Regions from separate parts of the Mus musculus genome. Here all the other regions are reported to be linked to region 3. The links are microRNA targets in miRTarBase. Many come from high-throughput screens and were not tested one by one. Region 3 holds a microRNA gene; each other region holds the end of a gene's coding sequence. Distances are between the middles of the regions.

Evidence for each region. Region 3 holds the annotated microRNA mmu-miR-804 (UGUGAGUUGUUCCUCACCUGGA, at 4,359-4,380, shown strand). A microRNA usually pairs through its seed, bases 2 to 8, with sites in the 3' UTR of a target mRNA and lowers its output. Matches are read on the target gene's strand: a 7mer-m8 pairs with bases 2 to 8, a 7mer-A1 pairs with bases 2 to 7 and ends in A, and an 8mer does both.
Region 1: miRTarBase lists Pex13 as a target of mmu-miR-804. Seed matches in the 3' UTR shown: 7mer-m8 at 3,917-3,923.
Region 2: miRTarBase lists Pnpla3 as a target of mmu-miR-804. Seed matches in the 3' UTR shown: 7mer-m8 at 4,652-4,658.
Region 4: miRTarBase lists Tigd3 as a target of mmu-miR-804. Seed matches in the 3' UTR shown: 7mer-m8 at 2,651-2,657.

What each region holds. Positions count from the first base shown.
Region 1 is chr11:23,643,439-23,651,494 of GRCm38, forward strand. Pex13 (peroxisomal biogenesis factor 13) reads right to left here. Exons shown (of 4, transcript NM_023651.5): 3 at 7,492-7,617; 4 at 3,845-6,152. The coding sequence ends at 5,854. Among named protein-coding and RNA genes, the nearest start is that of 0610010F05Rik, 14 kb to the left of the region's middle.
Region 2 is chr15:84,185,525-84,191,806 of GRCm38, reverse strand. Pnpla3 (patatin-like phospholipase domain containing 3) reads right to left here. Exons shown (of 8, transcript NM_054088.3): 8 at 2,286-5,830. The coding sequence ends at 5,722. Among named protein-coding and RNA genes, the nearest start is that of Samm50, 3.6 kb to the left of the region's middle.
Region 3 is chr11:50,354,123-50,362,178 of GRCm38, reverse strand. It overlaps Mir804 (microRNA 804), which reads left to right and starts at 4,300; the gene lies at 4,300-4,394. It overlaps Cby3 (chibby family member 3), which reads right to left and starts at 4,418. Exons shown (of 2, transcript NM_029691.1): 1 at 4,376-4,418; 2 at 2,477-3,139. The coding sequence starts at 2,925. The coding sequence ends at 2,503.
Region 4 is chr19:5,885,923-5,893,978 of GRCm38, reverse strand. It overlaps Tigd3 (tigger transposable element derived 3), which reads left to right. Exons shown (of 2, transcript NM_001362045.1): 1 at 1-9; 2 at 862-2,841. The coding sequence starts at 879. The coding sequence ends at 2,291. Among named protein-coding and RNA genes, the nearest start is that of Tigd3, 4.2 kb to the left of the region's middle.

The DNA of each region.
Region 1 (8,056 bases), 27 Mb from region 3:
CTATTTGCAGATATGATAGTATATATAAGTGTCCCTAAAAATTTCACCAGAGAACTCCTAAACCTGATAAACAGCTTCAGTGCAGTAGCTGAATATAAAATTAACTCAAACAAATCAGTGGCTGTTCTCTACACAGAAGATAAACAGGCTGAGAAAGAATTTAGGGAAACAACACCCTTCACAATAGTCACAAATAATATAAAATACCTTGGTGTGACTCTAACTAAGGAAATGAAAGATCTGTATGATAAGAACTTCAAGTCTCTGAAGAGAAATCGAGTATCTCAGAAGATGGAAAGATCTCCCATGCTCATGGATTGGCAGGATTAACATAGTCAAAATGGCTATCTTGCAGAAAGCAATCTACAGATTCAATGCATTCCCCATCAAAATTCCAACTCAATTCTTCACAGAGCTAGGAAGGGCAATTTGCAGGCTGGAGAGATGGCTCAGCCGTTAAAGGCTAGACTCACATCCAAAAATATAAGAAAGGGCAATTTGCAAATTCATCTGGAATAACAAAAAACCTAGGATAGAAAAAACTATTCTCAATGATAAAAGAGCCTCTGGTGGAATCACTATTCCTAACCTCAAGCTGTACTACAGAGCAACTGTGATAAAAAAAACTGCATGGTACTGGTACAGGGGCAGGTAGGTTGATCAATGGAATAGAATTGAAGACCCAGAAATGATCCCACACACCAATGGTCACTTGATCTTTGACAAAGGAGCTAACCATCCATTGGAAAGAAGACAGCATTTTCAACAAATGATACTGGATCAACTGGCAGTTAGCATGTAGAAGAATGCGAATTGGTTCATCCTTATCTCCTTATACAAAGCTCAAGTCTAAGTGGATCAAGGAACTCCACATAAAACCAGAGACACTGAAACTTATAGAGGAGAAAGTGGGGAAGAGCCTTGAAGATATGGGCACAGGGGAAAAATTCCTGAACATACAGCAATGGCTTGTGCTGTAAGATTGAGAATCAACAAATGGGACCTCATAAAACTGCAAAGCTTCTGTAAGGCAAGACACTGTCAATAAGACAAAAAGGCCACAAACAGATTGGGAGAGAATCTTTACCAATCCTAAATCAGATAGGGGACTAATATCCAATATATATAAAGAACCCAAGAAGTTGGACTCCAGAAAGTCAAATAACTCTATTAAAAGATGGGGTACAGAGCTAAACAAAGAATTCTCAACTGAGGAATACCAAATGGCTGAGAAGCACCTGAAAAAATGTTCAACATTCTTAATTATCAGGGAAATGCAAATCAAAACCACCCTGAGATTCCACCTCACACCAGTCAGAATGGCTAACATCAAAGTTTCAGGTGACAGCCGATGCTGGAGAGGATGTGGAGAAAGAGGAACACTCCCCCATTGTTAGTGGGATTGCAAGCTTGTACAACCACTCTGGAAGTCAGTCTGGCGGTTCCTCAGAAAATTGGACATAGTACTACCGGAGGATCCCACAATACCTCTCCTGGGCATATATCCAGAAGATGTTCCAACTTGTAAAAAGGACACATGCTCCACTATGTTCATAGCAGCCTTATTTATAATAGCCAGAAGCTGGAAAGAACCCCGATGTCCCTCAACAGAGGAATGGATACAGAAAATATGGTACATTTACACAATGGAGTACTACTCAGCTATTAAAAACAATGAATCCATGAAATTCTTAGACAAATGGGTGGATCTGGAAGACATCATTCTACGTGAGGTAACCCAATCTCAAAAGAATACCCATGATATGCACTCACTGAGAAGTGGATATTATCCCAGAAGCTCAGAATACCCAAGATACAATTTGCAAAACACATGAAACTCAAGAAGAAGGAAGACCAAAGTGTGTATACTTCGTTCCTTCTTAGAAAGGGCAACAAAATACCCATGGAAGGAGCTACAGAGACAAAGTTCAGATGACATCTAGAAACTGCCCACCTGGGGATCCATCCCATCAACAACCACCAAATCCAGACACTATTGCCGATGCCAACAAGAGCTTGCTGACAGAAGCCTGACATAGCTGAGAGGCTCTGCCAGTGCCTGACAAATACAGAAGTCGATGCTCACAGTCATCCATTAGATGGAGCACAAGGTCCCCAATGAAGGAGCCAGAGAAAGTACCCAAGGAGCTGAAGGGATTTGTAGGTCCCTAGGAAGAACAACAATGCGAACTAGCCAGTAACCCCAGAGGTCCCTGGGACTAAACCACCAATCAAAGAAAACATACTGAGGGACCCATGGCTCTCTAGCTGCATATGTAGCTGAGGATGGCCTAGTCGGTTATCAATGGGAGACGGGCCCTTGGTCTTGTGTAGGTTCTATGCCCCAGGATAGGGAATGCCTGGGCCAGGAAGTGGGAGTGGGTGGGTTGGGGAGCAGGGGGAGTGGGTAGAGGATAGGGGATTTTTGGAGGGGAAACTAGGAAAGGGGATAACATTTAAAATGTAAAAAAAAGAAAATATCTAATAAAAAAGAAAAGAAAAAAGGAAGATGATGGAAATAAAAGAAAATAAACAAATGACATACAGTGTTGCAGACTACAGAAAAATCACATGTGATTAAGAACTTAATTATCATACTTAGGACACGTTTCTTTGAGAAACTCCCCAGTTTTCTTTTGAAAAACAAGTCTTTACCATCTACTGAGTTTAAACTACAATTGAACAATAAAAGAAACACTCTTCATAACAGCACAGAGAGGAACACTCAGGCAGTCATGTTGTACTTTGTGAAGCATCTATGGTAAAGTATTTCTGTTGCAACTATAATGCATTGTACAGACTTCTGTGAAATGTGCTGGTGAAATACAGTAAAGTAACGCCAGCGTTGTAAAGAAAATATCAGGATGTTTGATCTTACTTACTGCATTTAGACCATGACGTCTGTTGTGAGAAACAGTCTTGTTTTCTTCTTAAACACAGTGATATCGCCTAACGTGTTTAATCAGAGTGTACAAGTGAAAAGAAACACTCTTCTGGTTCTTAGCACAGGAGAAATACACACGCATTCAGGCTGTACTTTGTTTTGTGTAGCATCTTTGATAAAGTACTTTTCCTCCAGCTATAACGTAGAATCTTCTGTGAAATGTACACGTGAAAATACGGTAAAGTCATAGTGTTACAAACCAAAGAAAATCACATACCATTAATAACTCACTTATCACATTTAGAACATGACATCTATTTGTTAGAAGAGTTCTTTGGTTCTTCTTATAAACACCCCTTTACCACTTAATGCGTTTTAACTAACAGTACATGTGAACACTAAAAGAAACACTCTTCTTGTTATTAGCAGAGAGAGGAACATGCATGCATTCACATTGTACTGTGCTTTGTGTGGAGTATATGTTATGGTTCTGTTGCAGCTATAATCTTAAAAAAAGAAATTAAGTTTCAAATATTTTTAATTCTCCAGTAAAGTATTTTCACAACCTATTAAAAATACAAATTTAACTGTATTTCATTTCTTTTTCCAGTAAAGACAGCATAAAATAAAGAGCCGCTGCACTCAGGTAAATGAATAATTGGCTAAGACTTGAGTAAGATGTAGAACATGAAAATGCATTTATAGTCCTTTAATCTTTTTCTTCCCAAGCTGACAAAATACAATTAAAGCTTCTGATATCTAGTTTCTTACTGTAGCTTATGAATTATTTAATTGAAAGTGTAGTTTCCTGTGATGTAATGCTACTTCAGGAAGTCCCTAAAATTATATTGGAGCTGTGACCAATCTATTCATTTACTCTAAACCACAAAACTTTCTGCCACTCTAGTCCTACAACTGTTTTTCTAAGACTTTAATAAAGAATGGACACAGGCCGAGCGGTGGTGGCGCATGCCTTTAATCCCAGCACTTGGGAGGCAGATTTCTGAGTTCGAAGCCAGTCTGGTCTACAAAGTGAGTTCCAGGACAGCCAGGCCTATACAGAGAAACCCTGTCTTGAAACAAACAAACAAACAAACAAACAAACAAATAAAAAAGAATGGACACAGGTAGTTATTAGGTTAATACTATATAATCTAGCATAGACAGCCAAACAATAAAGACCCTAAAAGAAAGTTTTATCATTTATTTGTCTAAGCTCTTTCCTATACAACTGAAATATTAGTCACAAATCCTATTTTAAAGCTCATCTTCTAAAACAAAACAACACCCCAAACCTAAATAGTGCTGACTCAACATTTTATTTCTACTTTACTCCTAGTGCTTAGTCTAGATGTCTGGAGTAACATTTAGACATGAGAAAAGTTCAGGCATCTCAAGTCAGAAGTAAATATTTGTTAAAACCTTTGAGAGTCAGGGCCATGCCTCAGTGGTAGATTATTCAACCCCCTTTCTCAACTGAAAAGTTACTACTGAATGTCAGAAAAATCAGCCTAAAAGATAAATGAGTACCGTAAATGCTTCTCTCTATCTTAAGATGAAAAGATACATTACTTATTATATTGTCATTTCAAAAAAGGGCTTCCTAGGAAGTCTTTAGTGCTTCTGTTCTGAGCAGATATTGGGTTAGACATGGTTTAATATGAACTCCTCCAGAATTATTTATTTGATAAACCTATCTATATGAAAGAAGCAAAACCCAAATCACTTTTTATCAAAACCCACAGCTGTTAGTAGTGTCTATAAATGAATTCTGTGATTTATTTCTGACAGTTCTAATCTGTAGTATATTCACAGCAAGCGTATAAAGCTTCCAATTCTATGGGGAAACACATAAAATTCACTATTAAGCAAAAAAAAACAACCAAACAAAAAGTCATCGTATTTGAAATAGCAAGCAAATTATAGTCTCAGTAGTGAAAACCACAAGAAATCTATCCAATGTGACAGACATATTTCAGTTACCTTGGGTTTTTTTGGTCCTTTTGTTATTTTGTGTTTTTCTTTCCAGAGCTGAGGACCGAACCCAGGGCCTTGCAAGCAAGCGCTCTACCACTGAGCTAAATCCCCAACCCCGACAGACATATTTCAAATATTTAATGTATAACCTGATTTTGGAATTTACAAAAGTAATTATCTTATATAGAAGCAGAAAATTCAGGATTAAAAATCATTACTGCCAGAATTGATTATATCATTAAGTATAATCTTAAAGGACTCCTGCCTTAGTTGGAGGAAAAGAACAAAAATCCATATATTGTGACTCGCTCAGGATGAGATCTAGCTATATATTGTGACTCGCTCAGGATGAGATCTGTGACACTGTAAGGAGGTTAAGAAGCTGTCAGTCAGAACCATCTTCTTCACAGTGCTCCAGTGACCTCTTAAGAACACACTTTTATAAATACAATAAAAGATAATACTATCAATTATTTGCTGGTAAAAACACATCACCTAAAGTAAATTCAACACTGGACATAATACAGATGAGAAAATTTTTATTATTTAGTTTATTTATAAGGTTAAAAAAATTAGCCTTTTGTCTGTTCTTATAAGTAGATGTTATCACTCAATTTTTGAAGACTTCAAGTCAACTAACTCAGAACTTTAAGAAGCGTTAATGATCCCTTCTGAGGCAGCTTGTGTGTTCTACTGTTCATCAAATTTACTGTTCCAATAAGCCTAGGGACTGAGATAAGATGGAGCTGACAACTATCTCCATAATCTTAAAAACTAGGTGAAACAAATGTCCTCGTGGTCCACAAGACAGTCAAGTGTAGACAGATCACTTGACTAGCAGCTAGCGTGTGACTACATAACTTCTAGCAGCAGAACACTCGGCACAGCCACGAGCAAATGCTTTCATTCAACTGCAAATTAATTTCTCTGTAAGAAATGATTTTTTAAAATACTCTAAAATATTGTTCACCTGCCCACAAACATGAAACACATCAAAGATCTTGTTTGTCTCCATTTTTCCCTGTAGAATCAGGTGCACTGGAAACCTTATTAGTTTCAACAAAAACAGATTCAAAGGCAGCTTCCTGTTCATCCAAAGGATTGGTGGTAGTGACTCCTTTAATTAATGTTGGGTTGGTAAAAGACTGTTGTTGCTTGAGCATTGTACTCGATTCTATTGTTTTTCTGCCTCTTCTTTTACCAAGAATTTTGACATAATTTGCAGGTATAAGTCCTGTTGTTTGACCGTCAAGACTAGCCAGAAGCCAACCACGCACTTTGGGTTGTTGTTCTGAAGAAAGAGAAAGACAGCTTTTAAGTACATTTTGGAATCCAACAGAATATTAATGATAATGTATGTTAAGCAAAATCAGAGCCTTCTGATAAAGCTGTCTCCCGAGGAGCTCCACCAGTGCCTGACAAATACAGAGGTGGATGCTCTCAGCCAACCATTGGACTGAGCACAGGGTCCCCAATGGAGAAACTAGAGAAAGGACCCAAGGAGCTGAAGGGGTTTGCAGCCCTATAGGAGGAACAACAATATGAACCAACCAGTACTCCCAGAGCTCCCAGGGACTAAACCACCAACCAAAGAGTACACATGGAGGGACCCACAGCTGCAGCCGCATATGCAGCAGAGGATGGCCTTGTCGATCATCAATGGAAGGAGAGGTCCTTGGTCCTGTGAAGGCTTGATGCCCCAGTGTAGGGGAATGCCAAGGCCAGGAAGCAGGAGTGGGTGGATTGCTGAGTGGGGGAGGGAGAAGGGGATGAGGGTTTTCGAAGGGGAAACCAGGAAAGGGGATAACATTTGAAATGTAAATAAAGAGAATATTTAATTTAAAAAAATCAGTCTCACAGTGAGATTATGTTAAGGAATAGTATGTGCACACACACTCAAAAGCAAATACTAGCACACTTAATTAGTGGTCTAGATCCATTTTTCTTTTAAAGTAAAGAGATGGAATCTCAGTTACCCAAGTTGGCAATCCTCCTGCTTTTGCCTCCTAAGTAGTAGGGACAATAGATATGTATCTAGCTTCAGTTTCATTCTTAAATTTATCGTAAATAAAATATAACATATAGTAAAAATACAGTATTATAAGTATATGTTATACTTACTTAATAGTCCTGCCTTGAAATGTCTTTCAGATTTTAAATTAGAATCTGAGAAAATACTTTAAGTATTGTATATTGTACTGGGATTAACAGAGCTTGGAAGTCAAGGGTTTGAATTTAGAAGAGATTATACAGGGAAGTGTTGTTCTAACACTCTGGGGTATTTTCTCTGACTTTACTGTGTTTTGACACAGGGACTCATAATAGTGGGAAGAGCAAGGGGGTCAGCAAGGGTGGGAGGGGACAAGAGGGTAATGGGGTCAGTGGAGGTTAACACTTGTGATCCTAGCATTTGGAAGGCTAAGGGAGGGCTGCCATAAGTTTGAAGCCAGCCTGGGCTACACAGTGAGACCCCATCTCAATCTCATCTGGAAAAAAAAAAAGACAAAAGCAAAACTCAGGTAACCATCTGCATGTTAGCCAGTGAGCAGGGTCCTTTGTTTCAGTTTCAAATAGTACCTTTACAATTATTAAAAACTCAAGATAATTACAACTTATTTGTGATTTGTTACCTTTGAGGGCTAAATTTAGCATATCACCAGCACGGAAAGAAATTTCTTCATCAGACACGGCAACAAAATCGTACTCTGCTCTTGCAACTACGTGGTCATCCTCACCACTTGCCCAGTTGGTGTTGTCTATAAACAAAATCAGTGGTTGGTTAATAAAGTTTGCAAAATGAGCTGCATAAATCCACTTGCCAAGTGGACAGGTCTCCCTTCCTAAGTAACTTCCTTCAGAAGGAACACTGTGGATGGGCAAGCTTACTATTGTAGGAACTATCATACTATCATATCCCTGACAACCTTTTCCCTTTTCTTACCCTCTCTTACCCCCCCCCCCCAAAACAGGGTTTCTCTGTATAGCCCTGGAACTCACTTTGTAGACTAGGCTGGTCTCGAACTCAGAAATCCGATAGGCTAACAGTCTTAGAGACTGTGGATAAATTTCTTTGGCTGTTGTAGTAATTATCATCAATTAAGATTTCCTTCAATGGCTAGTAAATGAAACTTTGGTTGTAGTTTTTATTCCCTTTAATTTTGTGGGTGCAGTAGGCAATTTTTAGTTTTCTAAGTG
Region 2 (6,282 bases), not on the chromosome of region 3:
ATAAATTTCGCCTTCCCAGACTCCTCAGAAATGTGTATGACATTTAATTTATGTATTTACTTATTTATGAGACAGGGTTTCTCTGTGTAGCCCTGGCTGTCCTGGAACTCACTCTGTAGACCAGGCTGGCCTCGAACTCAGAAATCCGCCTGCCTGTCTCCCAAGTGCTAGGATTAAAGGCGTGCGCCACCACTGCCTGGCGACATTATATTTCATTTAAAGGTTTTTCCTGTGTAGGCCCGAGTGTCCTGGAACTTGCTCTGTAGACCAGGCTGGCCTCGAACTCACTGAGCTCCATCTGCCCCTGGCCTCCAAGTGCTGGAATTAAAGGTGCATGGACCACCACCACCCACATTCATATTTTTAAAAAATACTTATTTATTTATTATATGTAAGTACACTGTAGCTGTCTTCAGACACTCCAGAAGAGAGCATCAGATTTCGTTACGGATGGTTGTAAGCCACCATGTGGTTGCTGGGATTTGAACTCAGGACCTTTGGAAGAGCAGTTGACACGCTTAACCGTTCAGCCATCTCACCAGCCCCAGATTCATATTTTTTAAAAGATGAATGGAGCTCTCTTGAGTGTTCAGGTGAGGACGGTTACATAAACAAAAAAGACAGCTGTGCGTTTGTGTTTTGGTAGCAGAAACAGTTACTGTGCCTCAAAAGAATAATGTAATAAAAGCCACTGGTAGCTCTGAACTGCAGTTTACTAAAGATAGAGTGGGGTTCCTGTCCTCTGACCTGCAGTCAACCTGACACCACTGCACTTGACCACTGAAGCCTAGCTTCCTTTTCCATCCCCTCCTTCCGGGACACTCCTGACCTTTTTCTCGTTAAGCATCTGCAAAGATGGGGCCCATGTTCCCGTGAATCTGAGCCTGACACCATGCAGGGATTCATGAATAATTGCTATGTTCCTATCCTAACGCAATCTAGGGTACTTAGCTACTTTCCTTCCCAAAGACAGAGCTGGGTGAGGGCAGCCTGGTCTACATAGATGGCCCCAGCACAGCCTGGGCTACACAGAGAGACCCTGTCTCAAGCAAACAAAACAAAAAAGCCCTAAGGGCCCAGAATCATTCTCCCATCATGCACATACAATGTCTGTTAGTGCCACTGGTCAGGAATAGGACCATTGTCACAATTTTTGAGACAAATTTGAAGTGAGCTTTAATAAATAATGGCCAGGACAATAGACACTAGCTAGGTCCATACCCAGAATTCCCAGACTATGGCATCAAATTGCTTACAAAGGCAAAGCCCACAAGGCTATGTACTTTCTGCCTTCATCCACTGGAGGCAAGTATACCTCTCACCTATATGTGGTCATCACATCCTGTGCAGTTGGGGCCACCAAGCTTGTTTGCAGAAGTTATCTTACGTGGACAACAGCCTCCAGCAATCCAGGAAGTTATCTGTCCTGGGCCAAGTGGGACTTACAGGTTAGAGGCTTTTTTTTTATATAGGTCTCTTAAGCACAGTAATTTAAACTTAAAACATACCTTTAGCCCTCATATGTTCTCCCTGTTAGATTATTTAAAAAGCAGTTGTAGAGGGAGAGAAGACAGAGCAAGCCTTGGTCTGACCTTAGGTAGGATCATGTTTATTAACAATGAGGGAGCGTTTTGTCACCCACACATGCAGGTGGCCAAAATGGCCACAGGAGAAGCCCTCTATAGAGGTAGAAATGACTTACTAGTTCACAAGAGGAGACTGGGAAATGTAGTCCATCAGAGGGGAAGCTGGGAAGTGTAGTTCTTCATCAGTAAACGATCCCTGCCCTACCCCCTTGTTGGTGTTACACTGGGGAAAATTGAAGCCTTGAACACTGCCCATGATCCAAGCTTGTGTTCGGGTTATCCCTGTGTGTTGGATGCCTGAGTGCTCCTGTCATCTTCAGGGCTGGCCTCACCTGTGGCCAGAGAGAGTCACATGCGCACCCAGCCCTTTGTCACAGTTATTTGCTCCAGACTTTTCCCTCAGTGGTTCTGGAGACTATGCCATTGTCCTTTCCCAACGCTTCCTAGAAATGCACATTCCAAGCTGATGTGGTTGTGTGTGAACATGGTACTGGGAAGGCTGAGGCAGGAGAATGGAAAAAGCAGGTGAGCCTGAACTACATAGTTCCAGACCAGCCGGGGCTATACAGCACCAACCCAGTCATTTTGCAGTGTGGAGGACATTCAGCCTGCACGCCTACAGGGAAGAACACAAACTTATAGAGGAAGCTGTCCCACAGGCCCTTTTAGTTGTAGGAGAGGCAGAAGAGACAGAGAATACATTTTTCTAAAAAAAATCACATTTATTTGTTTTTTGTTCCCCACATTTATTATGGACCCTTTTCCCTTAAACAGTTGTGGTTATTTTTGGTGTATCCATTCAATCCTTCTGCTGTTCCACTAGTTTGCATACTCATTTGCATAAATTCACCCACACCTGCTTTTAATAAACAAATGAACCAGCCTTGCTAAGGGGCTTACAAGTCAAGACATTGCTCCCTGCTGCTCACTGTCTGACTCCTGAGGTGTTCCTGAGAATGGAGAGACTCCAAACCAGTGGGAGTTTTGTCTGATAGGGTGGCAGGAATATTCTCTACTGATGAGAAACGTCCAGAAAGGGGCAGCTCAAAGCAAGGCAGAAGTTTCTACTTTTTTTTTTTTTTTTTTTTGAGACAGGGTCTCATGTAGCCAGAGCTAACCTCCAACTCCCTAAATAGCCAAGGAAGACCTTGAACTTATGATCCTCTTGCCTCTACTGCTTGAGTGTTGGGATTACAGGCCGATGTCACTGCCTGTCACTCCACAGTTTATAAGGTGCTGAGATTGGACTCTGGGCTTCAAGCCTAGAGAAGTCCTCTGACAACTGAGCTGCACCCTAGTTCCTGGTTTCTTTTCTTTCCTTGGGACAGTCTTATCTTCTGTGTAGCCTAGACACTTTGTCTCTAGAACCACATTCTCTCTCCCAGAGTCCTTTCTTATCCCATCTGGATCAACCGTGCTGAGATTATATGATTCCTCCTGATGTGCTTGCATGAACCTGGAGCTCACTAGGCCTCCAGGAGACTCAGGCATGGGAGACACACACCTTCACTGTCTACACTTAGGAGTATGGGCAGCACCTGGTTTCTTTTGTTTGCTTGTTTCCTTTCTAAAGTGTGAATTACAGGAAACACACACCACACCCACAGCTGTATAGTACACCTGAGAGAAGTGGGTACTTATTCCCATTAACGCTGCTGGTAGTAGATGGGGAGGGAGAGAGGTGGTCATGGCTGATGACTATACAAAGATTTGGAGCCAGTGGAGAAAGCAAGCAAGTTGAGGTTGAGGAGGCAGAGGTCCGATGCTCTCCCTACCTAATTCTAGCCCCACTTAACTGATCATACGTGTAGTTCACCATGCACTCCCTGGTGTGTTTATATAAAATGCTTTATAAATTAGTAAGAGCCAAAGGTGTCCTTAAAAGTAATAAGTTATCTGGCAGGCCCTTTTCAGAGACAGCCACGGCCCGTCCCATCACAATTCCTAAACAGTTTCCTTCCGAGATTGCCCGGTTTGGATTCCAGTTTCCAAACACTGATGCCCTTGGGCTCCCCACTGACTCACAGGCTGAGAGATGGTTTGACACGCTCTTTGTGATAGCCCTTAAGCACCAGACTTCACCCAGACCAAGAGTAGCTTTCTAAACACCAAATCATTGTCTTTGGTTTCTATGGACTACCACTTTAGCCCAGATCCTGTGATCCTGGGGTCACAGGCAATGAGGTCACCACACAGCACCAGGGGGCAGCTGCACAGAGAAACTTCCTAGCTGCCTCCAAAAGTAACAGAACCCTTCCCAGAGGGACAGACAGTATAGCACCCCTCACCCACCCATCATCTAGACACTGTTGCTCCAGATAAAAGGTCAAGCTGGACTGGGGGTGGAAGGCAGGGTGCCCTCAGCTTTGGCCTCTCCTGGACCAACCATGAGAAGAATGTCCAAGTTCACTGGAAGCACGGAGACCAGCAATTTACAAACCAAGATTGCAGGCTCTCAGGTCTTCAGTATTGTAAGAACATGATTGATGTCAGAATCCAGACTCTGCTCAGGTCTCTTCACAGACACTGACAGGCATCTCATAATATTTTACCCCAGAAGTGAGTCTGTCAGCATCGAAGGGGTTTACATCCTGCTCCCCACCCCCTGCCTGCCTCGAGCCTGGCTGTAGGCTCTTGCAGTCAACCTCCCTCATCCTCAAAAGCTCTAAAGAGAGAGTCCCTCCTCTGCTGTGTGGGCTCAGAATCTCTTCAAAGACCCCATCCTGCTTCTATCTCCGATGCCGGGGCCTGAACTCCCTGGTAGCCCCGACTATGCTGTTGTCCTTCTGTCTGTCTGTCCATAGCATTAAAAACTCCTCCAATCAACTTGATAAACCACTTACTCCCCAGGAATTTCTCTCAGAGTTCCCTAGAACTCCACACCTCACCCAAAACCTAATAGATACCTGTAGAGAGAATATGTTATGGATTATATAGATGCATCCACCTGTCAATTAAAAAAAAAAAAAAACCACACCGGGCATGGTTGCGCACGCCTTTAATCCCAGCACTCAGGAGGCAGAGGCAGGCGGATTTCTGAGTTTGAGGCCAGCCTGGCTTACATAGTGAGTTCCAGGACAGCCAGGGCGATACAGAGAAACCCTGTCTCGAAAAACCAAAAATAAATAAATTAATTAATTAAATTAAATTTGGAAAAAAAAAACAAAAACAAAACCATGGCCTATAGGAAAAGGTGGAATAGAAGGTGGAACATCCAGGAGGCAGAAAGAATTATGGAAGATTCATCCGGAAAGATGTGAAGAGCTGGACTCATGGTACCTGAGCACAGGCCACCAGCCATGTGGCAGGATGGAGGTTAAAATTAATGAGTTAAGTTATGAGCTAGTCTGAGAAGAGCCTAGCTATATGGCCAAGGTATTTGTAACTATAATTTGGGTCTGAGTCTTATTTCTGGGAGCATGGGGCTGAGAGGAAGAACCAGCTGTAACTTCTACAGATGCCAGAGAGGGTGGAGCCAGGCAGGGGTGCAACCCAGAGCCACAGCTTCCTCCTGCCTTCAGTGCTGAGGTGTCAGTCCCATCCCTTAAGGCCTTCTCCACCACCTGAACACCCACAGCTTCACCCACCAATAAGCCCTCACCTGGGCCATGGGTTCCCCCCACACAGCACCATGTTCCTTGTCACCTGCTTGACACTGAGTCAAACATTGCTAGAATGTTTGCACAGCCTGAGCACCAAACCTTGCAGTGGTTCTGGCAGAAGAGGCATGCTGAAGAGACAGCTGTGCCTTCCCTTTGGTTTTCAGCCCTTTGATACAATGGAGGCCAAGGAATTGGGATTGTCCCAGGAATCTCATGCTAGGGAGAGAAAGAAGGAACCTTGAAGCCCAGACAATGGTGGGCAGGACCACGCCCTGATTCAGACTGTTTATGTGTAACTCTGTTTAAACTTAAGCCTCCTGTTGGTATCTTAAAGATTAACCGGGTGGGGGCTTGAACCTTTTTATATTCGAATAAACCTGCTTTCTCTGCTACCGGTTTCTTTAATGGCATGCTGGGGACAGGCGGCTGAGCCTGGCTTGTTAAGGCTGTCACCACCCAAGCTCTGACCCTAAGAGCTCTGGGAACAACCGGGAGGGATGCCTATCTGGCCCACACACCCTGGGCCCAAGTATTTACCTGGTAGAGGGGAGCAGGCACATCGTCATTCGGGCACAAACCTGGGATGTCGCCCATTGTAGCCACTGGATATCATCCTGGATATCAGGGAGCCATGTCACCAGCCTGTGGGAAGGAAGCCAAGGACACTATTGGCTTACAGGTGATTCTGGTTTCCTCCCAGGGACCTAACAACAGAGACCTAGCAACAGCTTAGGTCATCACCTGCCTCCATTGCTACCTGAGCTGCCACCAGGTGTGGGTGGCCTGGGAGCTTGTAAGAGGACCATGTTACCCCGGTCCCCTTCTCTATCTCCCCTTTCTTATTCTCTCTCTCTTTCTCTGTCCCCACATGTTCCCTGCCAGCCTCCCTGTCTCTGTCTCCCCCTTTCTGTCTCCCCTCCCTTGCCCCACAATAGACCTCCCTTATACCAGCCAGGTCTGTCACATGGTGGGATTTCTCAGGGAGACACCTTGGCATGGGCCCTCCAGGTGGCCCTTTAATCCTGTGTTATTTTTCATAACAGACACCATGCATGTATACTTCACATAGAAACACAGATGCAGATATATGTACA
Region 3 (8,056 bases):
GTGGATCAGTGACAACCATGAGCACAAGGCAACCCTAAGTCACATGCTAACAATGGAGGAAGGCAGAACATAGGTCCCCGTGACACTGCCAAGCTACAGAAGCCTTGGCCTGCTGCATTGATTGAGCACATTAGTAATAAACTCAGAGTCACCGATAATGCAACGGTGACACAATAGGGAAAGAAGTCAATGCCTTTCCCCTTGGTGACATTTAACCAAGAGTGAGCCCAGACTTGACTTCTCTGCTTGGTTTTTCCTGTGTATCCTGTGTCAGTGCTCCTGTGTGTTTCCTAATACAGTGCGTTGCTCTTCCTTTAAAAAAGGAGAAGAAGGAGGAGGAGGAGGAGGAGGAGGAGGAGAAGGAGGAGGAGGAGGAGGAGGAGGAGGAGGAGGAAGAGAAGGAGAAGGAGAAGGAGAAGGAGAAGGAGAAGGAGAAGGAGAAGGAGAAGGAGAAGGAGAAGGAGAAGGAGAAGAAGAAGAAAGATTCAGAGTGGCTGGGCAGAAAAGGAGAGGTGGGTCTTTAGATTGCATGGGCCAGGGACAGGAGAGAGAGAAGAGAGTTGGAGGCAGGAGGATCAGATTTAAGAGCTGCAGGACAGAAAGCATCCAATGATGTAGGTGGAAAGGAAATGCTGCCTTATGGGGGTGGGGCTGCCCAGAAGGTAACAGGGCAGCAAAGATAAAGTAAGATTTAGAAGGTGTTAGTCCTGGGACTGGAGAGATGGCTCAGTGGTTAAGAGCATCGACTGCTCTTCTGAAGGTCCTGAGTTCAAATCCCAGCAACCACATGATGGCTCACAATCATTCATAGTGAGATCTGATGCCCTCTTCTGCTGCATCTGAAGACAGCTACAGTGTACTTAGGTATAATAATAAATAAGTCTTAAAAAAAAAAGGAGGTGTTAAGCCAGGAATCCTGAGGAGAAATGTATGTTAGTCACAGCCATGGGGAGGATTAGAAATGTCCAGCCTTTGAGCTAGTCAAGGCATATCAAAGTTAGCTGGCTTATGTGTGTTCCAGAGAGCTTTTGGTCAAGTATGCCAGGAGCCAAAGTGGTTTAACTAATTCACTGCTACACACAACCATCCCTAACTCCAGTTTCAGGGATTCTGATGACCTCAGAGGGCACGGGACAATTATATGGTGCACACACATGTAGGCAAAACATAAAGCAAAATTTCATAAAATACAAAACAATAAAAAAAATTATATACTCCTGGGTCCCAGGTATTTCAGAAAAGGGGTCCTCAAATCCATTCTGAATTAAGCTCCTGTGTGTGTGTGTGTGTGTGTGTGTGTGTGTGTATTTGAGGCAAGGACTTATTCTGTAGCTCAGGCTGGCCTGCAACTATGTAGACCTGTCTAGTCTTGAATTTAAGACAATCCTCCTGCTTCAGACTTCCAGGCGCTACCTGGGATTACAGGTGCAAACACATGTATGCAGTGTTCCACTCTGCAAAGCACTCTTTACCACTGACCATTTTTTTTTCTGGCCCTTGCTCCAATCTCAGCTGCTACCTGCTACCTGAGCTGGCAGGCAGGTTGAACTGTAGAGTGCTTGTCTGTAGACAGAGGCTCTGGTCCCATGACCTCTGCTTTCTGAGTTCACCACCCACTGTGGGTCTTTCCTACAAGGGATGTGCATTTGGTCACTAAAGAAGAGCCCCCCCACCCCGCCCCCAAAGAGTCAAATACACAAATACCGTGACTCAGCCTCTCCTGGGTATTATCAGCTCTTCTACAACATCCAGTATACTAGAAACATGTTTAAGTAGTTATTTGCTATTGGGTGTGGTGACACATCATTTTTATCAGAAAAAAATGGCAGTGGAGAAAGACAGGTGGATATTATGAGTTCCAGTCTGGTATACCTAACCCCATCTCTAAAATGAATTATAGTCCTGGAGTTTGAACATAGGGCCTTGTATAAATTAGACAAGTGCTCTAACACTGAGCTATGTCTCACTTTCCTGAGACACACTCACACACACACCATCTCACACATATATGCTATGTGTGGCCCCAATGCTTTTTTTTTTTTTTTTTTTTTTTTTAGTTTCTCTGTGTTGCTTTTGCTGGCCTGGAATTAGGTCTATAGAGGCTAGCTTCAAACTCCAGAGATCTGCCTGCCTCTGCTTCCCGAGTGCTTGGATTAAAGGCGTGCGCCACCCCTTCCTATACATTTTTTTTTTTTAATGCTGGGTCAAACAGAAGTCTTTATTCCACGTATGATAAAATCACAGTCTTCGCCAATAGAAAACAAAACAAAGAGTGTGGGAAAGCAGAACCTAAGGTTTGGAGAAAAATCCAAGCGCCCTCTCCCGCACTGCCCAAGCGTCTCACGCGCTTTAACTCCCCCTCCTACTTATCTCTGCCACACGCAGCTCCACCCAAGGAAAACCCGGATGCTCAAGGGAAGTGGACCACCCGGGCCACCAGGGCGGGGCGGGGCAAGGCGAGGCGCGTACTCGCGGCCCTGCTTTAGGTACAACTTTATTGCATCACCGCGACTCCAGAGCGCGCGGCTGGATTATAAGTACTCCCGCGCCCCTTTGCTTGGGCATCTTTCTCTTCCAGGAGCGCGCCGGGGCCGCAGGGTTGTTATCCGCGTCCACCTTCTTCTCCAGCAGTTGCATGCGCGCCGTAGTCTCTGTTAGCATGTCCATGAGCAGTTCTTGCTGCAGCTTCAGGTAGTTATTCTCTTCCAGCAGCACCTGGCTCTTAATCGGCTGCACTTGTGGCTTCCAGGCCGGGATGGTGGAGGAGGGCAGAGGCGTGCGCGCGCTTGCGCGCTTCCCCTCTGGGGTCCAGCGGCCGCCGCGGAAAACGAAGGCCTCGTCGCTCAGTCGGGTGCGCGGCTCGCCGTAGTTGAGCCCCAGTTCGGCCTGTCGCGTGCGGTGGTCCAGCAGATAGAAGGTGGACATGGATGAGATATGGCGCAGCGGTGGCCTCCGCGGCGAGAAGCGGCGCGAGAAGTGGTCGACCCAGAATTGCCTCACCTGTTTCCACAGGCGGCCCGCTTGGCTCGCCGCCAGGCACTCAAAGGCCTCCAGGGTGAAGGTGGTGTGGGCCACGCGGGGCGCGCGGGTGTCTGGAACCCTGATGTTCTGGAATGGTGAAGGCGAGCCAGTGGCACTGCTGGAAAGCAAATGGCCTGTGAGCGGCCTGCTCAGGCTAGACTCTGCAGTTGTAGGCTAGTAGGGGAGCCCATTCCTGCATAGTCACACCAGCCGTGTTCACCAAAATTACCTCCCCGGGACCCTTTATCTAGGATGTAGGTGTGTAAGAGATAATGTAGGGCTGGGCAGTGATGGCACATGCCTTTAATCCCAGCACTTGGGAGGCAGAAGCAGGTGGATTTCTGAGTTCGAGGCCAGCCTGGTCTACAAAGTGAGTTCCAGGACAGCTAGGGCTACACAGAGAAACCCTATCTCGAAAAACAAACAAAAAAAGAGATAATGTAAAGGCCCAGAAACCACGTTCTCTGAAATGCTGGAAGAGACCACAGGTAGGGGGCCACAAGTAGAGATCAGTAGCCAAGCAAGTAGGACAGGCCTTTTCTTGCTGACAGCTGTGAGGCAAAGGGCTGTCATGTTCCAGATGCATGAAAGAGCCGACAAATAGGATTGGTTCCGAGAATAGCAGAAACGTAGGCTAGAAAGGTGAGCCAGAGGGCATTTTTCGGTACAGTACAGGGAAATTGAACATTGTGGTTGTCATTCTTTAAGGGAGGCTGCTGATGGCTGCAAAGTCAGGGTTAGTGTGAACTCGGCAGAGCATCTGTCTGGTGAGATGTCTAGCACATTCTAGCACTGGCACCTGCTCCATGCCAGGTCTGGCCTGCACAGAGGATACCACAAGCACAGCCTTTGTCTATCCTCAAGATGTTCCTGGTCCAGCTGGAAAGGCGTGTATTAACATCCAGTGTAATCAATGACATCATAGGACAGACAGGTAGGTGCCTTAGCCTAGACCCATACTTAGCTTTCAAGTAACTAGAATGCTGCACACTAGAGTTAACTTTTGTTCCTAGCCAACTACTGATAGGAATCTAAAGCCCAGATAACTACCAGAACCCATCTTACTTGCTTCCTAACTCTTCTCACAACACCTATAAAGTGCTGATTCTACAGTGTGGTTTTTCAAATACCTCTCCTGCCATCGAGGGCAGGAGTGAAAACTGCTGTCGGGTTTCCTTTGCCACACCTTCATTAAACCCAACAGAATTGTGCAGGTGGGCAGAGACAGGTGTTCTCCCCCACCCCCTGATTTAACTCATGGAGCGAGTCTCTGGAAGTCCCTACACATCCATCTTTGAGGTTACAACTTCCCCAGTAGACTGTTTCCTGACATTCCTTGTGAGTTGTTCCTCACCTGGAAGATGTGGTGGCGGTGCCCAAGCTGCTGTCCCAGGCCTGGCCCCATTTCTGGGTTATGGCACCCACCTGTCTGCCAGCTGTGACTCACAATGCCTCCCTGCCAGGCCTCCTAGGGTAGAGGTGGTGTAGACAGTGAAGTGTGTTCAGTTACGGGAAGTTTCCGGAGCATTGACTGTGCTCCAGGCACTGTTCTGGGGGAGGGAAGACGTTCAATCATAAAATCGCACCCCTCATTTTGTTTAAATCTTTGTTTTGATTTAGGTCCTTTTGAGACAGGATAGCCCAGGTTACCCTGTAGCCCAGGCTAGTAAGAATCCTCCTGAGCCAGTCAGTGGCAGCAGGTGGGTTTCAAGAGTTCGAGGCCAGCCTGGTTCAAGGCTGCCAGGGCTACACAGAGAAACCCTATCTGGAAAAACAAAACAAAACAACAACAAAGGGATCTGCCTGCTTCCTGCCTTAGCCTTCCAGCCGGATTATAATCATATGTTTCTGGCTTCTATGTGGAAGGTGGGAGTATGGGTAGTGTGACCTCTGGCCAAAAGCTAACCTCCAGTATCTTCTTGATCACTCTTCACCTTACTTGTTTGTTTACTTATTATAAACATAAAGGCAGGGTATCTTTATGGAGTCCTGGCTATCCTGGAACTAGCTCTGTAGACCAGGCTGGCCTCAGACTCACAGAGATCCACTTGCTCTGCCTTAGAGTGCTGAGATCAAAAGTGCACCAACCTGCCTGGTCTTCCACCCTATTTTTTGAGTCAGAGTCTCACTGAACCTGGAGTTAGCAGAGTCAAAAGGCCAGCTGGCCAAAAAGCTGTAGGGATCTTCTACCCCCACCTTTGCCAGGGAAGTGTCTTCTTGGAGTTGTAGTGACATCAAAGGTGAGAGAGAGCTCCCAGAGATGCACTCTGTGAACAAGGTGGGAGTTGGGTACCACTCGACTTCTGGCCAGCTATGAAAGTCATGTGTTGTATTAATGAAGATAGGGCAGAGGGATCTTACTCATTCTGTCTCTCCCTTAAGTTCCAGACAGACATTGCTGTACCCTGCAGATTGTGTGTGTCAGTGTCCCGTGTCAGCACTGGGGTTAGAGATGCAGGCTGCCACACTCACTCAATCCCATGAGAACTGGGGTTCTGCACTCAGGGTCTCAGGCTTGTGCAGCAGGCCCCTCCCTCACTGAGCCATCTCAGGCCCCTTACTTGGGTTTTTGGAGACCTGATCTCACTTTGTTAGCCTAAGCTGGCTCAAATCTCCTAGGCCTAAGTGATCCTCCTCCCATCTTAGTCTCCTGAGCAGCTCCAGCCTATAGGCTGTGGCACACAGTACCTTAAGCCAACATTCTTGGCAATGGGGTGGATGGGAGGTGAGCATAAGGAATCTGGTATTGCTCTAGAACACATGTAGATTGCCCTCCAGGAATTTTAGTGCAACCTTAGTCCAGAGTGTAGCAATGGAAACTTTTGGGGGCAGATTGAGCCCAGGGCTTCCTGCATGATATTTGTATACTCTTCCAGTAACTTTTTAATTTTTTTCAAATCCTACTTTTAATGATTTTTTTAAAGATTAATTACTATACATAAGTACACTGTAACTGACTTCAGACACACCAGAAGAGAGTGTCAGATCCCATTACAGATGGTTGTGAGCCACCATGCGGTTGCTGGGAATTGAACTCAGGACCTTTGGAAGAGCAATCAGTGCTCTTACCCTCTGAGCCATCTCGCCGGCCCTTAATGGTGGTTCTTAAATGCTTTAACCTCCCTTGTAGCCCACCACCCACCAGAAGTAGTGGGAAAGAAAGGATTCGGGAGAAGTGGACTTGTTTAGAAAGGTTCTTTGGAGCCACTCCCATCTGGGTTGTCAGGAAATCAGCAGTTCAGTTCACTGGTCAGCAGCGGCAGCTCGATCCACTCACAAACACTTCACAATACACCAGCAGTCTAGTTTGGTGGAATGAGGATAGCAAACACGAATCGGGCATGACCTAGCAGAGACAGCCAGGCCTCAGCCTCTGCTTGAGTCAGCAGGAGGGACAAAGAGGAAAACCAGTTCTTGGCTATGCCTCTCTCAGGGAAGTGAAGATGAGGGCAGACTCAAGACCCACAAGCATTGCACAACTAGCTCTGTAAGCAACCTAGCTAAGCCTCTGTCACTGCTAAGTCTTACTTATCTCCTCCAAACATCACGTGTCCTCCACAGGTCTTGCCTCAGCATGTGTCTTGCCACAACAGATATCACTCTGCCAATCAGCCCAAGGCCAGGGAAGTGGCAAGAAACTGCAGCACACTACCAGAAGTTTTATGGTGCATTTCTCTCTATGGAGTCCCAACAGATGTAGCTCAGCTACACAGTGTGAGGCTAACAATACATGTATGTTGTTAGCAAAGAACCCACCACATGTCCTTTCATGTGCTTGGTTTAGGAGAACATTCTTTTACCTGTGTCTGCTTTAGCTAAATGTTCCTTCACGAGTCTGGAGTCTGCCTTGGTCTTTTATCTGTGTCCACTTTGGGAAAACATTCCTTCACATATTTGCCCCAGCAAAACACCATCCAACTGACTTTCCAAAGAACCCTTCAGTTTCCAAATCAACTCTCCTACAGAGCTACCCTACTGGAACCTTTAAATGGATATGCCCAGTGAAAGCAATGAGGGCCCTGGGGCTACTACACGGACAAGAGATTGCTGCTGGGCTTGAGTGCTTAGTTCCAGAAAAACTGGCTTACAGAGTGAGCCCGGTAGGCCCTGAGGGCTTATATGCAGTTAATGGTTGATGGGGTAGCCGCTGGTTAATGTTCCAATGCTCCTGTAAATAAATTACCCATGTTCCTGTTAGCAGCCCTAATGATTTTTTTGATTTGAGCTTGCACAGGTTCCTGGTCTCTTCTTTCCCCTCCCCTCCCCCAATACCAAATAACATACAGTGTGAAATTAGAAGAGAGGCTAGTTGGAAAGAGGAAGATGATTAGCGATTGTGATGAAGAGAGGGTAAGGGGGTAAATAAGATGGAAATACACTATGTGCGTCTATGAATAAGTCAGGATGAACCCCTTTATGTATAATTGACACATACTACTGAAAAGCAGTAACATGAATGCCGGGCATGGTGGGCCCCTAACTATTTCAGCAGTTAGGAGGCTGAGGTCAGAGGATAACTCTTCAGTTCAAGGTCAGCCTGAGCTATAGAGTGAGTTCTAGATCAGCCTGGGGTAGAGTTAGACTGCCTTAAAAATGCAGGGGAGAGGGAGAGAAGAGAGGGAAGAAGCTTGAAATAGCTTTTCTGTGTGGTCTCTCCTCTTGAGCCCCTACCATCTACCATCTTGCTGTCTGCCATGTTATATTGCAGCCAGGAAGACCTCATCAGGACCAGAAGATATCAGCACCATTCTTCTGGACCCTTCAGTTGTGAGCCAAAGAATTCTGTCTCTGTTTTTAAAAAATGATGCATGTATGTGTGTCTGTGGAGTTTATGCATGTGAGTACAGTGCTCAAGGAGGCCAGAAGAGGGCATCAGATCCCTGCCTGCAGTTACAGGTAATTGTGAGCTGACCTTTGCTGTGCTAGAAATCAAACTCAGGTTCTCCACAAGATCTGCACATCCTCTTTACAAAGCCCCATCTCATGTGTGGAAACAGAAAACAGAGTGGTACAGGGGGTTACTAGATAATCCCTC
Region 4 (8,056 bases), not on the chromosome of region 3:
CGCCTGGAGGTGGGTGCGGAGCGGGAGGCCCTGTAGCCGGGTGGGCGGGCGGGCTGGGGTCGACGCCTGTGTCCGTCCAGCCGACTGACGAGGGGTCAACTCAGCGAACCAGGGCGCAGAGCCCAGCGCTCGAGCCGCCTGCTTCCTGGCCGGTGCTCCCTTCTCTCTGATATCACTCCAGGCTATCACTGGGCAGAGGACACTTCTTCCCTTTTGCCCTCATCCTCCTCACCCTGTCTCCCTTTGTCGTCTTGGCATCTTCACTCTCCTGGTTGAACCGTTGGGTAGCTTTACCACCCCGCCTTGCCAGCGCCGAATTGTACTAGCGCCTTCAGACACCATCCATCTGGCTTTGTCATCTGTACCATCTCACCTGTTCATCTCGACTCTGTCCGTTCAGTCTACCACCTGCCTTCAGCCATCAAAATTCAACCTAGGTCCTCCTCCTCCTCATCTCCTCTCAGGGGACTCCTCCCTGGCACCCTGAATGTCCCCTACACCTGCCCCGCTCAGCCTCAGCCCCAGGCCTCTCCTTGTTTTTGCTCCTTTGTTGTCCCTGCAGCTGTCTCCTGGTTGTCTTTACAGCTGTGCTTTAGCCTCTATTCATCCTTCCACCCCATCAATACCAAACCCCAGCCCAGAATTCTCTCCACTTCGGACCAGAAACACTCGACTCTGCCAGCTCTCTTCTGGGTCTAGCCCTCTCCTCCCACAGCCTGGCCATCTCATGTCTCTTTCAGCTGGCCTGGTCTCCTCCAGCTTTCTGCATTCCAGAGAATTGCTCTGGCTTCAGGGGTCCCGACCTCTTCTGTTCTTCTTGCTCTCAGCCATTGGCACGCTCTCCTACTTTTCTTCCCCCAGCAGCTTCCCAGGGAGTCATGGAGCTGAACACCAAGAAGAAGCTTCACGCCCTGTCCCTGGCTGAGAAGATCCAGGTGCTGGAACTCTTGGATGAGTCTAAGATGTCCCAGTCAGAGGTGGCCCGGCGCTTCCAGGTCTCACAGCCCCAGATCTCACGGATCTGCAAGAATAAGGAGAAGCTGTTGGCAGACTGGTGCAGTGGCACAGCCAACCACGAGCGGAAGCGGAAGCGTGAATCCAAATACAGTGGGATCGATGAGGCTCTACTGTGCTGGTACCACATTGCCCGAGCCAAGGCCTGGGATGTAACGGGGCCCATGTTGCTCCACAAGGCCAAGGAACTGGCCGATATCATGGGCCAGGATTTCGTGCCTAGCATTGGCTGGCTGGTCCGCTGGAAACGTCGAAACAATGTGGGCTTTGGGACTCGCCAGGTCCTTGTCCCTCTGTTCCCTCCTGAAGCTCCTCCTGCAGTTCTCCCATCTCAGGCCCAGCCACCTCTTTCTCTTAAAGACTTCTCACCAGAAGATGTTTTTGGCTGTGCTGAAGTACCCTTGTTGTATCGCGCGGTGCCTGGCAGAGTGTTTGAATGTGATCGGTTGCAAGTACTGTTATGTGCCAACAGCAGAGGCACAGAAAAGCGAAGGGTATTTGTGGGTGGGCTCCAGGCGGCCCCAAGATGCTTCTTTGGGGTGAGCAGTGAGGCACTGCCTACCTCTTATCACCCTGACCTAGCCATTCCCTGGTCAGAGTGGCTGGCACAGTTTGACCAGGACATGGGACAGCAGGGCCGACAGGTAGCCTTGCTACTGGCTTCTGGAGTGGTAGAGGAATGGGCCAGCCTTCCTGGACTCCATCACGTTCGACTCCTGCCTCTCTCTGCCTCCAGCACCACTCCTTCCCTGCCTGGCTCTGTGATTTTGGCCTTTAAGGCCCATTACCGTCACCGTCTACTGAGCAAACTGGCTGCCATGCAGAGTGGGAAAGAGGGCACCTCCCTGGCGGAGGCCAGGGCTAGCATCACAGTTTTGGATGCTCTGCACATGGTGGCCGCAGCTTGGGCCAAGGTACCTCGCCAGCTCATTTTGAGCAGCTTTGTTCAAGAAGGGCTCGCTCCGGGCAAAACACCACTGTCCCTGGACAAAGACACTGAGATGTCACCAGTCCCTAGTGGGCTGAGCCAAGAGGAGTTTTCTCACTTTGTGGACCTGGAGGATGAGGACCCAGGGCCTAGAGTGTGCAAAGAGGAGACGGGTACTGAAGACAGTGGGAGGGAAGAAGATGGCTTTGAGCCCCTGCCCACCAAAGCCGATGCCCTGCAGGCACTGTGCACCCTGAGGAGGTGGCTTGAATGCAACAGTGCCTCTCCAGAACTCTTTGAGAAATTCTATGACTGTGAGGTGGAGGTGGAGCAGCTCTGCTGTCTGTGAGGAGGCATAGCTGCCTATTAGTCTCCCTCTCCTGTTTCCCATGGAAACGCCTCTCCAGAGACAGACTGGCTCTTTCCTGTGGAAATAGTATGTGGAGGGTGTAGAAGGGAAGGAAGTTGGAACACAAAGTCTAAGGTCAGAGTAAAAGTTGTTCAGGCCTAGAGTTTCTACGGATGGGGCCTCAAGAGTGGAAAGCTGGGCTGTGTAGCTTCTAGGCCCTGGAGAAACTTCTAGAGCTTTGTGGAGAGTTAGTCTAAATAGGGTAGAACCTAGAAAGGTGGACCGACTTCCTTTTTTTGTTTTTTGTTTTTTTTTTTTCTTTGAGACAGGGTTTCTCTGTGTAGCCCTGGCTTTCCTGGAACTCACTTTGTAGACCAGGCTGGCCTTGAACTCAGAAACCCGCCTGCCTCTGCCTCCCAAGTGCTGGGATTAAAGGTGTGCACCACCATCGCACAGCATGGACAGACTTCCTAACAGTGGCCCCATTCCTTGAATTTTTGTGTCAAAACCAATTCTGCTTCAGGAAATAAAGTTTTTAGCCACAAAGTCAGGATGTGGAGGACCTTTCTTCCTTCCTTCCTTCCTTCCTTCCTTTCTTTCTTTCTGGAATGTAATCTTGTATAGCCTGGGTTGACCTTGAACTTGCCCTATGACTGAAGATGATTTTGCACGTCTGCTTGCCTTCCCCTCTAGGGCCAGGATTATGGGGGTTTATGTGATACTCTGTATTAAACTTTTTTTTTTAAGATTTATTTATTTATTATATGTAAGTACACTGTAGCTGTCTTCAGACACTCCAGAAGAGGGCGTCAGATCTTGTTACAGATGGTTGTGAGCCACCATGTGGTTGCTGGGATTTGAACTCCGGACCTTTGGAAGAGCAGCTGGGTGCTCTTACCCACTGAGCCATCTCACCAGCCCTCTGTATTAAACTTAACCCAGGGCTTTGAGCATACTGAGCTAGTGCTATGCCTACTGAGTTTCCCCCCCCCCCCCCCGCCTCCTCAAAGCATGGCTTACATGAGAGAAGGGTGAAGTCTTTCTATCAGGAAGAACCCTTCATACACGGACCGTGCTTACAAGAAGAAAACTTGAAGAAAGGTCTCAGGGCGACTCAGACCTTTGCAGTTCTTACCACTTCAGCATCAGACTGTGTGGTGTAGTGGCCAGCAGCAGGGCAGGGCAGGACAGGACAGGGCAATGAGCTCTGGAATAATCATTCATTCACTACACTTTTCATCCATTTATTCATTTTACCACAGTTCCTTTTATCATGATATCCTATGTGGCAAGATTGCAAAGGTGACATCCCTGCAAAGCAGGACCAGAAAGCAATGACAGGCAAGTGCAGAATGCTTTGGCCCTACAAAGCCCAGTGAAACCCAGTAGAGGTGAGCTGGTTTTGCTGTTGTTTGTATGGTGATAGCGTTCTGGTTTTGAGACAGGATCTCACTATGTAGAGCAGGCTGGCCTTAAATTCTTGGAGTTCCACCTGCTTCTACCTTCTGAGTGCTGGGATTAAAGGTGTGTGCCATCGGGGCTGGAGAGATGGCTCAGTGGTTAAGAGCACTGACTGCTCTTCCAGAGGTCCTCAGTTCAAATCCTAGCAACCACATGGTGGCTCACAACCATCCGTAATAATATCTGATGCCCTCTTCTGGTGTGTCTGAGGACAGCTACAGTGTACTTACATATAATAAATAAATCCTTAAAAAAAAAATTGTGTATGCCACCATGCCCAACCTTGGTTTTCTTTTTAATTTTTATTTATTATTTATGTGGGGTGGGGGAAGCACACACACGTGCACACTTGCTACCATGCACAAATGTAGGTCAGAAGACAGCTTTGTGGACTTGGCTCTCTCCTTTCTCCTCTATGTGGGTTCTGGGAATCAAACTCAGGTCTCCAGGTTTTTGTGGGAAGCGCTTTTACCTGCTGAGCTGTCTCACCAGCCTGTGATGAGTTTTGATATTGGAGCCCTGAATAGAGAGAAAAGTGGAAAGGATAGCAAACCAAAGGAAGTAAGCATGGGCCAACTGGGGGTGAGGGAGCACCCCTGGGTGTGGCATATGTGGAGGTGAGATGTTCTGAGATCCCCCCAGTAAATTGGACATAGTAACCCTGTGTTAGCAGTGGTTAGCTGTAGGTGTTTGCAGTATGGGTATATTACACACACTGTATGGAACACTTACCTGGGAGCCATTTGAGGTCTAGTATTTTGACCTATGACCAGGTCATTCATTACACGGGAAACTTGTTTATATTGGCAGATACCCTGTAGCTCTTGTCTGTTTCATGGCCAGTGTTATGGTGGCACTCGGAGCTGAACTGCTGAACTGTGTTCTCCCGGTGAGTGGAGAGAGAAGTCTCAGAGGACAGATGCAAGTGTGCCGTGTAGGAGAATAAGGTGCAGATCAGCTAGTCACTCATTCAGTTGGCAATGAAACCAACACCACTAAATTCTTTTGCTTTTGTCTTCTATCTTTTTTTTATTTTTTTATTTTTTATTTTTTTTTTTTTTAAGATTTGGAAGGTTTTAGAAATCTGCCTGCCTCTCCCTCCCAAGTGCTGGGCTTAATGGCATGCACCACCATGCCCGGCACAACAAAGGCTCCTAACAATGAACTGTCTCTGTAGCACAGCTCCCCATCTCTCTGTAGGAGTGCTGGTTCATAGATCCACACCAGCACATCAGGATTTCTCTGTGGTTTCCAGGGATGGAGTTAGGGGTGTGCAGCAGTGTTCTTAGCATTGGGTCCTCTCCACGGCTCATCTTTTGCCTTTTGTATTACAGCCGTTCTAATAGAGGTGACATAATTAATGTACCATCGCACTTTTCATCTCATTTCTCTTAATAATGCTCAAAGTCATTTAACATTCCTGCGTCTTTGTGTTTAACCCACCTTAGCCTTCAACTTTTGTCTGCCGACAGTGTCCAGAATGGTGGATTACAGATGTGTATCCAGAAGGGTGGATTACAGATGTGTATCCAGAAGGGTGGATTACAGATGTGTATCCAGAAGGGTGGATTACAGATGTGTATCCAGAAGGGTGGATTACAGATGTGTACAGGCTTGCCCAGCTCTTTTGTTGGTTGGTTGGTTTTAGTGCTTGTTTTGAGGCAGAGTCTCATCATGTACCGCTGCTGACCTGGGACTCACTGTGTAAACCAGGCTGGCCTTTGACTCACAGATCTGCCCTTGCCTCCAACTGGGATTAAAGGCACATAACACCTGGCCCAGCCCCTTGTCCAGCTCTTGCTGGCTATCTGTATCTTTTTCATGAAAGATGTCTACTCAGAGCTGGGTGTAACACTCTGTCTCAGCAAGAAAGGAGAGAGGGGGCTATATGTTTAGGTACTCTGCTCATTTCATCATGGGTATTGGGGAATTCTTCACCTTTCCAACTTAAACCTGTGGAACACTCAGTGGCTCATCTCTAGAAAAATGTGTAATTGTTTCTTCTGAATAGAAGGGGGCACATAAAGATGATGCAATATGCCAGGCACTCGGGAGGCAGAGGCAGGCGGATTTCTGAGTTCGAGGCCAGCCTGGTCTACAGAATGACAGAGTGACAGAGTGTCTCTGGACAGCCAGGGCTACACAGAGAAACCACGTCTCAAAAAAACAAAACAAAACAAAACAAAACAAAACAAAAAAAAAACAAGGAGGAGGAGGCTGGGAGGCTGGAGAGTTGGCTCAGTGGGTAAGAGCACTGACTTTTCTTCCAGAGGTCCTGAGTTCAAATCCCAGCAACCACATGGTGGGTCACAACCATCTGTAATGAGATCTGATGCCCTCTTCTGGTGTGTCTGAAGACAGCAACAGTGTACTCACATTCATAAAATAAGTAAATCTTAAAAAACAAAAAAGGGAGAAGAAGAAGAAGAAGAAGAAGAAGAAGAAGAAGAAGAAGAAGAAGAAGAAGAAGAAGAAGAAGAAGAAGAAGAAGAAGAAGAAGAAGTTGTTTCCCCAAGGCCTAAGAATTCAAGGTTTAGTATGCTAAACTCCAGGAGGCAGCCCTGACCCCCACAGCCTTGCCTCGTGTCCCCTATTTCTCAGACTTTAGGAAGTTACCTCACATCCTGCTCAGTTAGCAAGCCTAAAGCATGTTTGTAAAACTTTATTTTTCTGAGTCATGGTCTCTTGTAACCCATTCTGGCTTTGAACTTGATATCTAACAAACCTTGACCTGACCTTTTGCCCCCACCTACCTAGTGCTAGGATTATAGGTGTGTGTCACCATGCCCCGTGTACATGATAAGGGGACCAATCCAGAGCTTTCTGTGTGACAAGCACTCTACCCCTGAGCTGCGTCCCTGGACTCTCAGAACTGTTTCTTGGACAGCCCACTAAGCTTTGATGATAAGGAGCTAGGAGTAAAGTCTACTCCATGCATGGTTTAGGGTTTTTGTAGGCCAGGCTAGCCTGGAACTCACATAGATTCTCCTCCTCTGCCTCCTAAGTGCTTATAGGCATTTTAAAGATTAAAGGCAGAGTTCTTGGTTTAGAGAGGCAGATATACTCAGAATCATACAGAAAAGACACTTGGAGTGTGTAATTACAGACCAAGAAAGAGGGGTGACATGAAAAACATGTCTAGTGGTTCTCCGTGTGTGGCCTACAGCTGCAGCTGGAACCTTAAGGAAATATACATCCTCCTACCCTCCCAAACCTCCCCAAACCCTAAGGTTTGACTCAGCAAAATACTTGAACAAACCCTCCAGGTGCTTTGGAACCATTGGTTGGCATAGCTGGGGGAAACAGATGTCTTGAAGGAGCCAAGAACTGAAAGATGGGGAGTTACAAACTCGGGGAGAAGAGCGTGAGCAGATCCTTGCAGCAGACCCGGATGTGTTCAGCAGAAGTAGGCTAAGGCGATCATCAAGAGCAAAAGTCTATGGCATCCTCTGCTGTGGGGAAGGAGCTCAAAGTAACAAGAGGCTGTGGAAGAATACAGTCTAGCTAGCTAGCTATTTATGGTTTTTCGAGACAGGGTTTCTCTGTGTAGCCCTGACTGTCCTGTCCTGGAACTCACTCTGTAGACCAGGCTGACCTTGAACTTAAATAAATCTTTGAAAAAAAAAAGTATTAAAAAAAAAACAAACAAACTACCACCACCACACCAAACTGGCTAAGACCCAGGCAATGGAGGAACACACATTTGATCCAGCACTCAGGAGGCATAAGCTGGCAAATATTTATTTATTATATGTAAGTACACTGTAGCTGTCTTCAGACACTCCAGAAGAGGGCATCAGATCTCATTACGGGTGATTGTGAGCCACCATGTGGTTGCTGGGATTTGAATTCAGGACCTTTGGAAGAGCAGTCAGTGCTCTTACCTGCTGAGCCATCTCTCCAGCCCTATTGTTGTTGGTTTTTGTTTTTAATATTTTTATGCTGGGTTAATGCCTTTAATTCCAGTACTCAAGAGGCATAGTCTGGTGGGTCTCCCTCGCAAGGCCAGCCTGAACTACAGAGTGAGTTCCAGGACAGCCATGGCTACAGGATTTCATGGAGAAATCCTGTCTTGAACCCTCCCTCAAAATATTTTTTTAAATTATTTTGTGTGTATGGGTATTTTTGCCTCCACGTGCATGCAATTCCCATATAAGCCAGAAGATGGCATCAGATCCCTCAGAGTTACAGATGAGTGGGCTGCCGTGTGGATGTTGGGATTTGAACCTGGTTCCTCTGGAAGAGCAGTCAGTGATCTTAATCACTGAGCTATCTCTCCAGCCCCTCAGGCAGTTTTAAAATCT